Linked DNA regions of Canis lupus familiaris. The protein of the gene in region 2 binds, or shares a complex with, the protein of the main gene of each other region. Links are inferred from orthologs where the notes say so. Each region holds a gene or a part of one and is shown on either strand. Other genes may lie near its edges.

The links.
Region 1: MEFV (region 2) and ZBP1 share a complex: the UniProt entries of both Homo sapiens proteins name them as parts of the AIM2 PANoptosome complex. The link is inferred for Canis lupus familiaris from reciprocal best matches to the Homo sapiens genes MEFV and ZBP1.

Annotation. Positions count from the first base shown.
Region 1 is NC_049245.1:43,334,412-43,339,010, forward strand, and holds the start of ZBP1 (Z-DNA-binding protein 1), read right to left. Parts: upstream 3,052-4,599; 5' UTR 2,838-3,051; coding exon 2,777-2,837; intron 153-2,776; coding exon 1-152.
Region 2 is NC_049227.1:38,415,180-38,419,677, forward strand, and holds the start of MEFV (pyrin), read left to right. Parts: upstream 1-1,427; 5' UTR 1,428-1,509; coding exon 1,510-1,786; intron 1,787-4,369; coding exon 4,370-4,498. UniProt on the Homo sapiens protein: Involved in the regulation of innate immunity and the inflammatory response in response to IFNG/IFN-gamma.

The DNA.
Region 1 (4,599 bases), on a different chromosome or scaffold from region 2:
CGGGCCTTCCTGGGAGACTTTCGACTCCTTCATCAGCCGGTAGAGGACTTGGTTGAGTTTTTTCTTGGGCACCTGGCATTCCTTGACCAACTGGATGGACTTGATGGGGGAGCCGGCGTCCCTCAGCGCCTGCAGGATCCTCTGCTCGAGGTCTGGGAGGAGGAGAGAGTGGCGGAGAGGGGACTGATTCTCCCCTGGATCGAGCCTGGAGCGGGGACTCGGAGGCAGGGAGGTGTCCCCGCGTGAGGGGTCCAGGCCAGAGGGAGGGGCAGAGACCCGAGCAGACGCTAACAACACGGCTGTCCAGGGAGGGACACATATGCTGGTCAGAAATGACCTTGGTGACCAGAGGAGGTGCCCCAGCCTCCCGAGCATCCTCGGCCTGGTGTGAGCGCTTGAGGGTGAGGTGGGGATGCTCAGGCCTCAGATGTCCCAGAGCAGAAGGGAGCGGAGGGTGGCAGCGTGGGGTAGATTGAGTGCAGGAGAGCAAGGGGAGGGAGGGAGGGAGGGAGGGAGGGAGGAGGCCAAGTGGCTGCGAGGGAGGCCTGTGGTCCCCGCCTCCCTGCAGCACCTGCCCCTCCTCGGGGGCTCACCGTCCACGCCAGTGGTGCATCTATCCATCCAAGCCAGAAAGCTAAAGATGCTCAGAAACAGGCCCTCCTCCCTGCTGCCGGGTTATGGAGAGTCCTGAGAACATGGTGCCTGGCTCTCTGGGATCCCATCTTCTCCCCTCTGTGCCTCCCCCCGTACACCACCTCCGTGACCACAGCTATTCCCCCGACTGCAGTCGGGATCCCTCCAGCCCACCCTCCACTCGGCAGCCAGAGCCTCCCTCCGAGCACCAGCCAGCCGTGTGCTCCTTCCAGCCCACTCACTCCTGGGCCTTTGCACACACTGTTCCCTCCATCAGGAACACTCTCCCCCCCCACCTCCACCTGCCCAACACCTACTCAACCCTCAACCTCCACCTGCCCAACACCTCACTCAAACACCATCTCTCTTGGGGAGCCATCCTAGGTGCCCTGAGTGATCGGGGTGCCCTGTGTGTGAGGGGGGGCTGCAGAATGTCTCCAAGCTCCCCTGCTGTGATTGCCTGGTGCACTGTAGTATCTTTGGTGTCTAACTCAGTGCTGGGTACACAGTAGACGATCAGGAAACAGCATTTGAATGAATGAGTGTCTGAGTGGATCTGCTCACCACTGGGACAGGTGTCAGCCCAGACGACCCAGGGCAGGGCGTGGACAGCAACTAGGTCTCTAATTCTCCACCTGAGGTTAATGACCCTAAGCAGAATCCCAGGAGCTCTCTGAACGCCTCCGTTCCAATCAGACAGGATCCCACAAATCCAAGCCAGCAGCTCTTTGGGGAGCGGAGAACAGGGCACAGACAGTGCCTGAGGAGCTGGAGGGCCCCCCCCCCCCCCCCCCCCCGGCAGCCCGGCCTCTTACCAGGAAATGTCTGTCCCCAAGAGCCCAGAGGGAAATGCAAAGTGGGGCCCTTCTAGGGAAGACTTGGGGCACCTGGTGGGACAGCAGCCTGATCCTTTGCCTTCTGGGTTTTCCCTTAGTGGGGGAAGGGATAAGGCATTTATTTGCTGGTTCTGCAGCTGGGCTCTGAGGCTTGCCCTATGATCAGGACATGTTCATCCTTGCTGGGTGCAGGTGAAGTGCAGTTAGGACGCCTGGGGGCATCTACTCCTTCACCCCCAGCAGCCGGGGATCCCCATCCAATCAACTGCAAGCCTGGCTTGCCTCCTCTTGAAAAGAGTTCTGGTTCTTGAAAAGCCTGCCCACGGGTGAGCCTTCCCCTCCCTCCTCCTCCATTCCCCCCCCCCACCGACCCCAAAGGAGCAGAGGGGTCGTGCCTCAGAGACCAGAGTGAGGGCCAAGCCCATAGGGCTGGCTGGCCTCGCGCGCCGAGTCTTCAGGCTGATGCGTCTGTAAATGGGAAGTTGTAAACTGGACGACGTGTAAGTGACAGGTTGGAGAGGAAAACCTCAGAGGGAGAAGTTAAATTCAGGCACTGAGCAACAAGTACTTGCACCTCCCCCTTGGAGAAGCAGAAGAGAAACCGGGGAAACTGCCCAGGCCCTGGGCGCACCCCGATGGCACCCCTCCCCAGGCCACCCCTTGACTTATTTTCTGTCCTCTGACGGCACCTCTCCTGGGTTTGAGCCCCCGCCCTTGCCATCCACCGGCTATGTGACCTCTCCGTGCCACACTTTTTCCATCTGTGAAGTGGGGATCGGAGCAGCTATCTCAAAGATTATAGTGAGTAGTAAACCAGCTAGTGATAGCAAAACCAAAAATCCCCAAATCAGAGCCATCGTCAACCCACAGCCCACACATGTGGCCCACAGCCCACAGGCTCTCTAGAATACACAGCCCTGGCCCCATACACGGCTCACTTTTATGGGTTATTCGTCCGGGAGTGAAGCAAAGCAGCTTCTCTTATTTCTTAAAATGAGTGTGAGGACAGGTGTTCGGACCCCAGCATCAGCTGCGAGGCCCCGGGTCCCCCTCGCAGGGCCTGAGGAATCTCATGTATAAAATGGAAACAGCATCACGTGTGTCCCCCCTGCTGCCCGCCAAGGTCTTCTAAAAGGCGTGCAGAGGGTGTTGGCAGGTGCCCAGGCAGAGCCTGCCTTCCCCACCAGGCCCTGGGCTCCCCTCTACTCTCGGGGCCCCTCTTGGGGACCCCGCAGGCCATCACTGCTGTCAGCTAGCCCAGGAAAGGAGCTGGGCAGAGGTGCACCCCCCCCCCCCCCCGGGAGCACCTGCTGTTCCTTGGGAGGAAGAAGTACCTCTCTCATCAGGGTCGCCCGGAGCCTGGGCCATCCCGGCGGCAGCGGCTGGAGGCCTGGAGCCGCGGCCCCTGCTCTGCCCGCGGCGTGGAGGGGATGGGCTGGTGCAGGCAGCGAGCCCTTGCCCGGCTGGACTCTGGCAGCTGTGAGAGGAGGCGGCAGCCGGTGGGTGTTTGCTGTTCACACTCTAGAAACAGGCCTCGTCAGCCTGACCTGACCAGCTTTCGGGAGAAACAGAAAACGAAACTCCTGTGCGTGGCCTCAGAGAGAAACAAAATTGAAAGCAGACTTGTTGAGCAAGGCCCCTGACTATGTGTTGGTAGGAAGGAGCATTCTCTGGACCCATGGGACTTCCCTGACCTTCTGGGTACCCACCGCTGCCCACCCTCACTCCCCACACAGGCTGAGATCCCCCGAGGGGTGGGGGTGCTGAGGCCTTGCAACCATTGTGTGTGTCAACATGACAGCTGCTTTTAGTGAGCACCTACTGTGTGCTTTCCGATCTTGAATGCCCCTCTGACTCTCCTACGAGGTCGGGGCTAGGACTTCTCTCGGTGGGGGGGAAACTGAGGCTTAGGTTGGTGCAGGCACTTGGCCAAAACTGGGTTCTAACTCAGCCCACAATTTGCTGGCTGCGTGACTTTGGGCAAGTTCTTTAACATGTCTGCGCCTCAGTTTCCTTATCTGTACAATGGTGCTAATAAAAGGAGCTATGTCAGGAGGTCCTGGAGAGGGCGGAGGGGGATAATCCAGTTGGACAGCCTGACCAGACCCTCCCCCAGCAAGTGCCAGCTCCAGCCGTGAGCACAGCGGGGCACCCACACACTTGGAAGAGGCACCTGCCCGGTCCACCTGGTCTCTAGGAGCCACGACCCCAGGGGGGTGGGGGGGGTGCTCAGAGCTGCCGTTCAGGAGGGGACACCGGGGCCCGCCGCGGTGGAAGGGCTTCGGGCCAGGCAGCCGTGAGGGTCCTGGACGCAGCCCTGCAACTCCCCGGGCTCGGGGTCCCAGGGCCTCGGAGGACTTTGCCCGCGCCCTTGGGCCAGGGGAGGGGCCGGCAGGTGTGGAGCAGTGTTTGCAGAGCAAGGGGGGCAGGTGTGCACCCAGTCCGCCGGGTCAGCACCCAGGCCGCTCACAGCCGAGCCCCTGAGGGGTCCCAGGTGGGGTCCCAGGTGGGGTCCCAGGTGAGGTCCCAGTGCATCCGCTCGCCAGGCCGCCGGGCCCACAGCTCGGGAGCAGCAGGAAACCACTTCGTTTCTCTTTCATATAAAGCTGAGAAAACGTGTTTCTCCCTGTGATATCAATTTTAAATGCGGGGTAACGGGGGTGGGGGTGGCTGCTGGGGAGACTGGGAGGCGCGCCGGGTGGGGTGGGCGGAGACCCCGCAGAGGCTGGGGGGCGCGAGCTGGGACTGGCTGCCAGGGGACACCACCGCTCACCGACTGGGCTGGGCCGCCTCTCTGAGGGAGGGGACCTCGCCCATCCCCGCCCTGCCCTCCCTCCTGACCTCTCTGACCCTGGTTCCTTGTCTCCTTCCCTGCTCGCTGCTGACCTCTTAGGGTTGGGGGGGATGAGGCCCTGGCTTTGACCCAGGTGCCAGGTAGGCTTGCAGCTCAGCCTGAGCTTAATCCCGAGGCGCAGATCCTTTCTGGAAGGACCAGCGGGCGGGCACCCTCATGGCAGGTGTCTGTCTGGACAGTTCTGGATGGCCCCTTTCTGCCCCCCTCACTCCCCAGTCCGCAGCTCCCCCCCCATCCTGAAGCCATCTGGGGCTTGTCCCCTGGCCTCGGAGCCCG
Region 2 (4,498 bases):
TAAGCCAGGACACATAAGTGATGCCAGCTAAGTGCCAGAAATATCACCATTTTTCAAGTATCATTGTAGCAATTGATATCGGAAAGGATTATCAATGAATGCTAAAATCATGAGGTGAAAGATTGTGGGAGAACAAGACATTTCCACATGCTCAGGTCACTTACTAGTCACAAAGAAAAAAATGTCCTTTTACAATGGAGACATCTTGAGGATGCCTGAAAGTACCTTCAGTCTAATAATGAGGAAATCTTAATTAATTAAGGGACATTTTGCTTGGAATGGACTTTTCAAATACATTGTCTTGACAGAATTTTAAAAGGCTGGAAAGTGTGAAAGTGTTCTAGCAGAATCAGACTATAGAGATGTGGCAACTAAAAGTAGTGTTTTTTCAAAACAAAAAAAGCCGGGGATAAAAATCAGGGTATACAGAAAGACAGAAGCTGTCAATTGTGGAAGAAGTCCACTTACCCCACGTACCACTTCCATTAGCTCTGGAGCAACTTCTGGAGACCACACTGGGACATGAGCTCCAAAGGACACCTATTCCTTTTTTCACCCTTGTTTCTCCAGCATCCTGGCATGGCGTCTAAAATATGTGTTCAGGGGCACCTGGCTGGCCAGTCAGTAGAGCATGTGACCCCTTGTTCTTGGGGTTCTGAGTTCAAGCCTCACACTGAGCATGGGGCTTACTTTAAACACAAAAAACAAACAAACAAAAAACTTGTTCAATAAAAGTGCATGGACAAGCACCCTCCCTCATGGGGATGCTCTCGGGAAGCCAGGGCAGAGTAGGGAACAAACAAATCAGGATGACAGTTCCACACACAGCATTTGAGGCCTTTGTGATGCTGAAAGCACCAGACAACTGGAATGACATCAATAGGGGTGACACCAAGGCTGGTGGCCTGGCAGTGCCCTCCGGCTTCACCTCCTTCTTGGGCAGAGAAGGGCAAAACTTGCAGGGCTGCACTTGTTGCCCCCCGCAACCCTCATCATTTGCTCTGGAGGGTCCATAAAATCCTGAGTCTGGAGGAAAACGATTGGTCAAAAAGACTGACTCTCATTACGGTCCTCTGCAGCATGGGACCAGGGGCTTTGTTCCTGCTCCCCACACCCATATCCCGGGAGAAGGAGAGACAGAGGCATCTGAGTGCCTTCCCAGGATCGAGACCCTGGAATCCAGCCCCAGGCCCTCCCTCACATACTTACGCACTGCTCTACAGGCCAGTATGGGAAGGTGAGGGCTGGGGCACTATAGGAACACATGGCTGGCAAGGCCTTGAACCCTCCTAGCTGTGAAGGCCTCCAAATCTGTGAGAAAGAGAACACAAGAGTCATCACTGGAAACAAACAAACGATGACACTCATAGCTCAGTTCTCGCCAGAGTGCAGAGAGCATTTCCTGTGCTTTTCCGCTATTTCACAAGTGGCTTCTTTTTTACCCACCCTCTGGGTTCCAAGACAGAGGCTGTTTCAGACTGCTGGCTCCAGCCTTTCCTGGTCAACACCATGATCAAAACCCCCAGTGATCATCTGCTGGACTCCCTGGAGGAGCTGCTGCCCAATGACTTTGAGAAGTTCAAGTTTAAGCTGCAGAACACCAGCGTGGAGAAGGATCACTCCCGGATCCCCCGGGGCCAGGTCCAGAATGCCAAGCCAGTGAAGCTGGCCAATCTGATGATCAACCACTACGGGGAAGAGAATGCCGTGCGGCTGACCCTGCAAGTCCTGAGGGCCATCAACCAGAACCTCCTGGCAGAGGAGCTTGACAAAGCGATTGGCCCAGGTAAGCAGGTCCCATGCCCCTTCCTTTCGCAATGCAACTGCTGGCTGTTCATGGGGTGGGGTACAAGGTGCAAGAGGGAATTTGTGTTTAGACCAGTATGTTGTGACTTGAAGCTTAGGAGTCCCAGGTCTACTATGACTCCAGTGACACTGACTGACCAAGTCCTTTCTGCCACTAAGGTCTTTGGATCTGGGTTAGTATAGCTAAGGCTCCCAATGGCTTTTAAAAAAAAAAAAAAAAAAAAAAAAAGGTAAAATAAATAAATAAATAAATAAATAAATAAATAAATAAATAAATAAATAAATATGAGGAGGAGAAAGGCTGAGATTCTGACTGCAGGGCAGAATCAGGAGAGGCAGCTCTCTGTGTCTCTCATGGGTAAATAAATCTTTAAAAGAGAAAAAAAAGAATCAGGAGAGGCAGGAACTAGATGCCTGATCTTAGAGGGTCCTTAACTTCATTGTGATTAACTCCTATGTACCCACCAGTATCTTCAGAAGAGAAAAAAAAATGCTTGCTAACTGCCCATATCAGCAGGGTCAACAAGTCATCCTCACAGTGAAATCTACCTAATTTCAGTTTTGAGCTCTTCTCTGACACATTTCACAAAGATATTCTAAAATTCTCAATTCTTTTCCTTCCTTTATCTTTTCTCTTTCCTTGTTTTCCTTCCTTCTCCTCCTCCTTGTTCTTCTATTCCTGTTTTGTTGTAACTTCCTTATTTCATCACACTGTGATCAGTGAATGTGGTCTATTGAATTTTTGCTTCTAAAGACTTTTTTTTTTTTTAAGATTTTGGGGAGGACCAAATACATGATGGGCTTAAAAAACATTGGCTAGTGTTTAAGTATTTCTTCTACTTTTAAAGACTTTAAGGACACATTAGAAATATTTTCCATGTGTTTTTCAGAAGTAGAAATGTTTAAATAACATAAAAGTTCTCTACTCTTTGGAAGAGTGATGGACTAAACCATAATCTGAGTCCAGTGTAATTTGATGAGTAGAATTTTTTTTTTTGATGAGTAGAATTTTTTAAGTTAATTTTCATATTTTAAAACCTGGTTATTAGCATATTTAGCGCTTTTCATTAATTCTAGAGACAGCTTGGGGAACTTGCCTTTTCCTAGGAAGTAAAGTGTTCGCAACAGCAAAGTTTTTTAAAGAGTTTTAAATATCTCTGAAGCAATTTAATAAGAGCCTCTTCTACTAAAATTTAAGGCGCTGATTATGGGTGCTTCATTTCCTTACTAGAGTAGGGTTTGCAAGTTATAGCTGAAGAAGATATTTCAGGAATTCTTTAGAATGTTAACAAATATATAAGGGGATCTCTGGTGGCTTAGCGGTTTAACACCTGCCTTTAGCTCGGGGCATGATCCTGGAGTCCTGGGATCAAGTCCCACGTTGGGTTCCCCACATGGAGCCTGCTTCTCCCTCTGCCTGTCTCTGCCTCTCTCTCTCTCCATCTCTCATGAATAAATAAATAAAATCTTTTTTAAAATACTTAATTCAAATTTTATTAATTTTTCTAATTTGTTTCCAACAAATTTGTTAAAATGTGTCATTCACCAAATTTTGAAATTCTAGAGGCCACCAGGGTGATAATTTGTGCTTAAACTCCTTTTACACAGACCTTGAAATTAAGCCTTTGTCATTTCTATTTAATGAAACTGTATCCTGAAACTTCCAAGCAAGCTGTTTAAGAAAGAAAAATCAGGGGATCCCTGGGTGGCTCGGCGGTTTGGCGCCTGCCTTTGGCCCAGGGCGTCGTCCTGGAGTCCCAGGATCGAGTCCCGGGATCGAGTCCTGGGACCGAGTCCCGTGTTGGGCTCTGAGTGGAGCCTGCTTCTCCCTCTGCCTGTGTCTCTGCCTCTCTCTCTCTCTCTCTCTCTCTCTGTGTGTGTGTCTCATGAATAAATAGATAAAATCTTTTTCAAAAAAAATCACCATTTACACTTACTTATCTGTATGTTAGGATTTTCTTCACATCATGAAACCAAAGAATAAAACAGAAGTAAATTAGTTTCTAAAGTTTTAACTGTCCTTCAAATCCTGTTTTCAAATTTTTGTGCCAAATATAATTCTTCTTTATTAATTAATTTTATAAGTGAATTTTGTACATCATAATCACACCCACATTTATACCAGTAAACTAGAGTTTTTATCTATTTTACTAACTAAGAATTTCGTGTAGGACTTTATACTGAAAACAAGTTCTCATGCCAAAGAACTCTGAAAAGTACTATTTGGGAAATATATAGCAAATAATTAGTATTCTCTTACTTAATGGTAATTGACTGTCATTGCCTAGAACATTCTGAACTTCTGTAATTTATTTTTTGTTTTAAGATTGTATTTATTTATTCATGAGAGACATAGAAAGAGAGAGGCAGAGCAGAGAGCCCGATGTGGGACTCGATCCCCCATCGTGCCCTGAGCCAAAGGCAGATGCTCAACCACTGAGCCATCCAGGCATCCCTGAACTTCTGTAATTTCTGAGGTGATTTTTCCCTTCTCTTCCTTCTCCCAACCCCTGGCCCTGAGCCCTGCACATTCTCATGCCTTTGCATCCTGTTGTCTTTGCAGAGTATCTGATACAAGAAAGTGGCACATACAGTTCAGCAATGTCTTGTTCCTTTGGGGAGAATAAGTCCAAGGGCCTGAAAATATCAGATGGCCTGGAAGGTGAGAGGCAGCGGCAAAGTGGTGATGGGG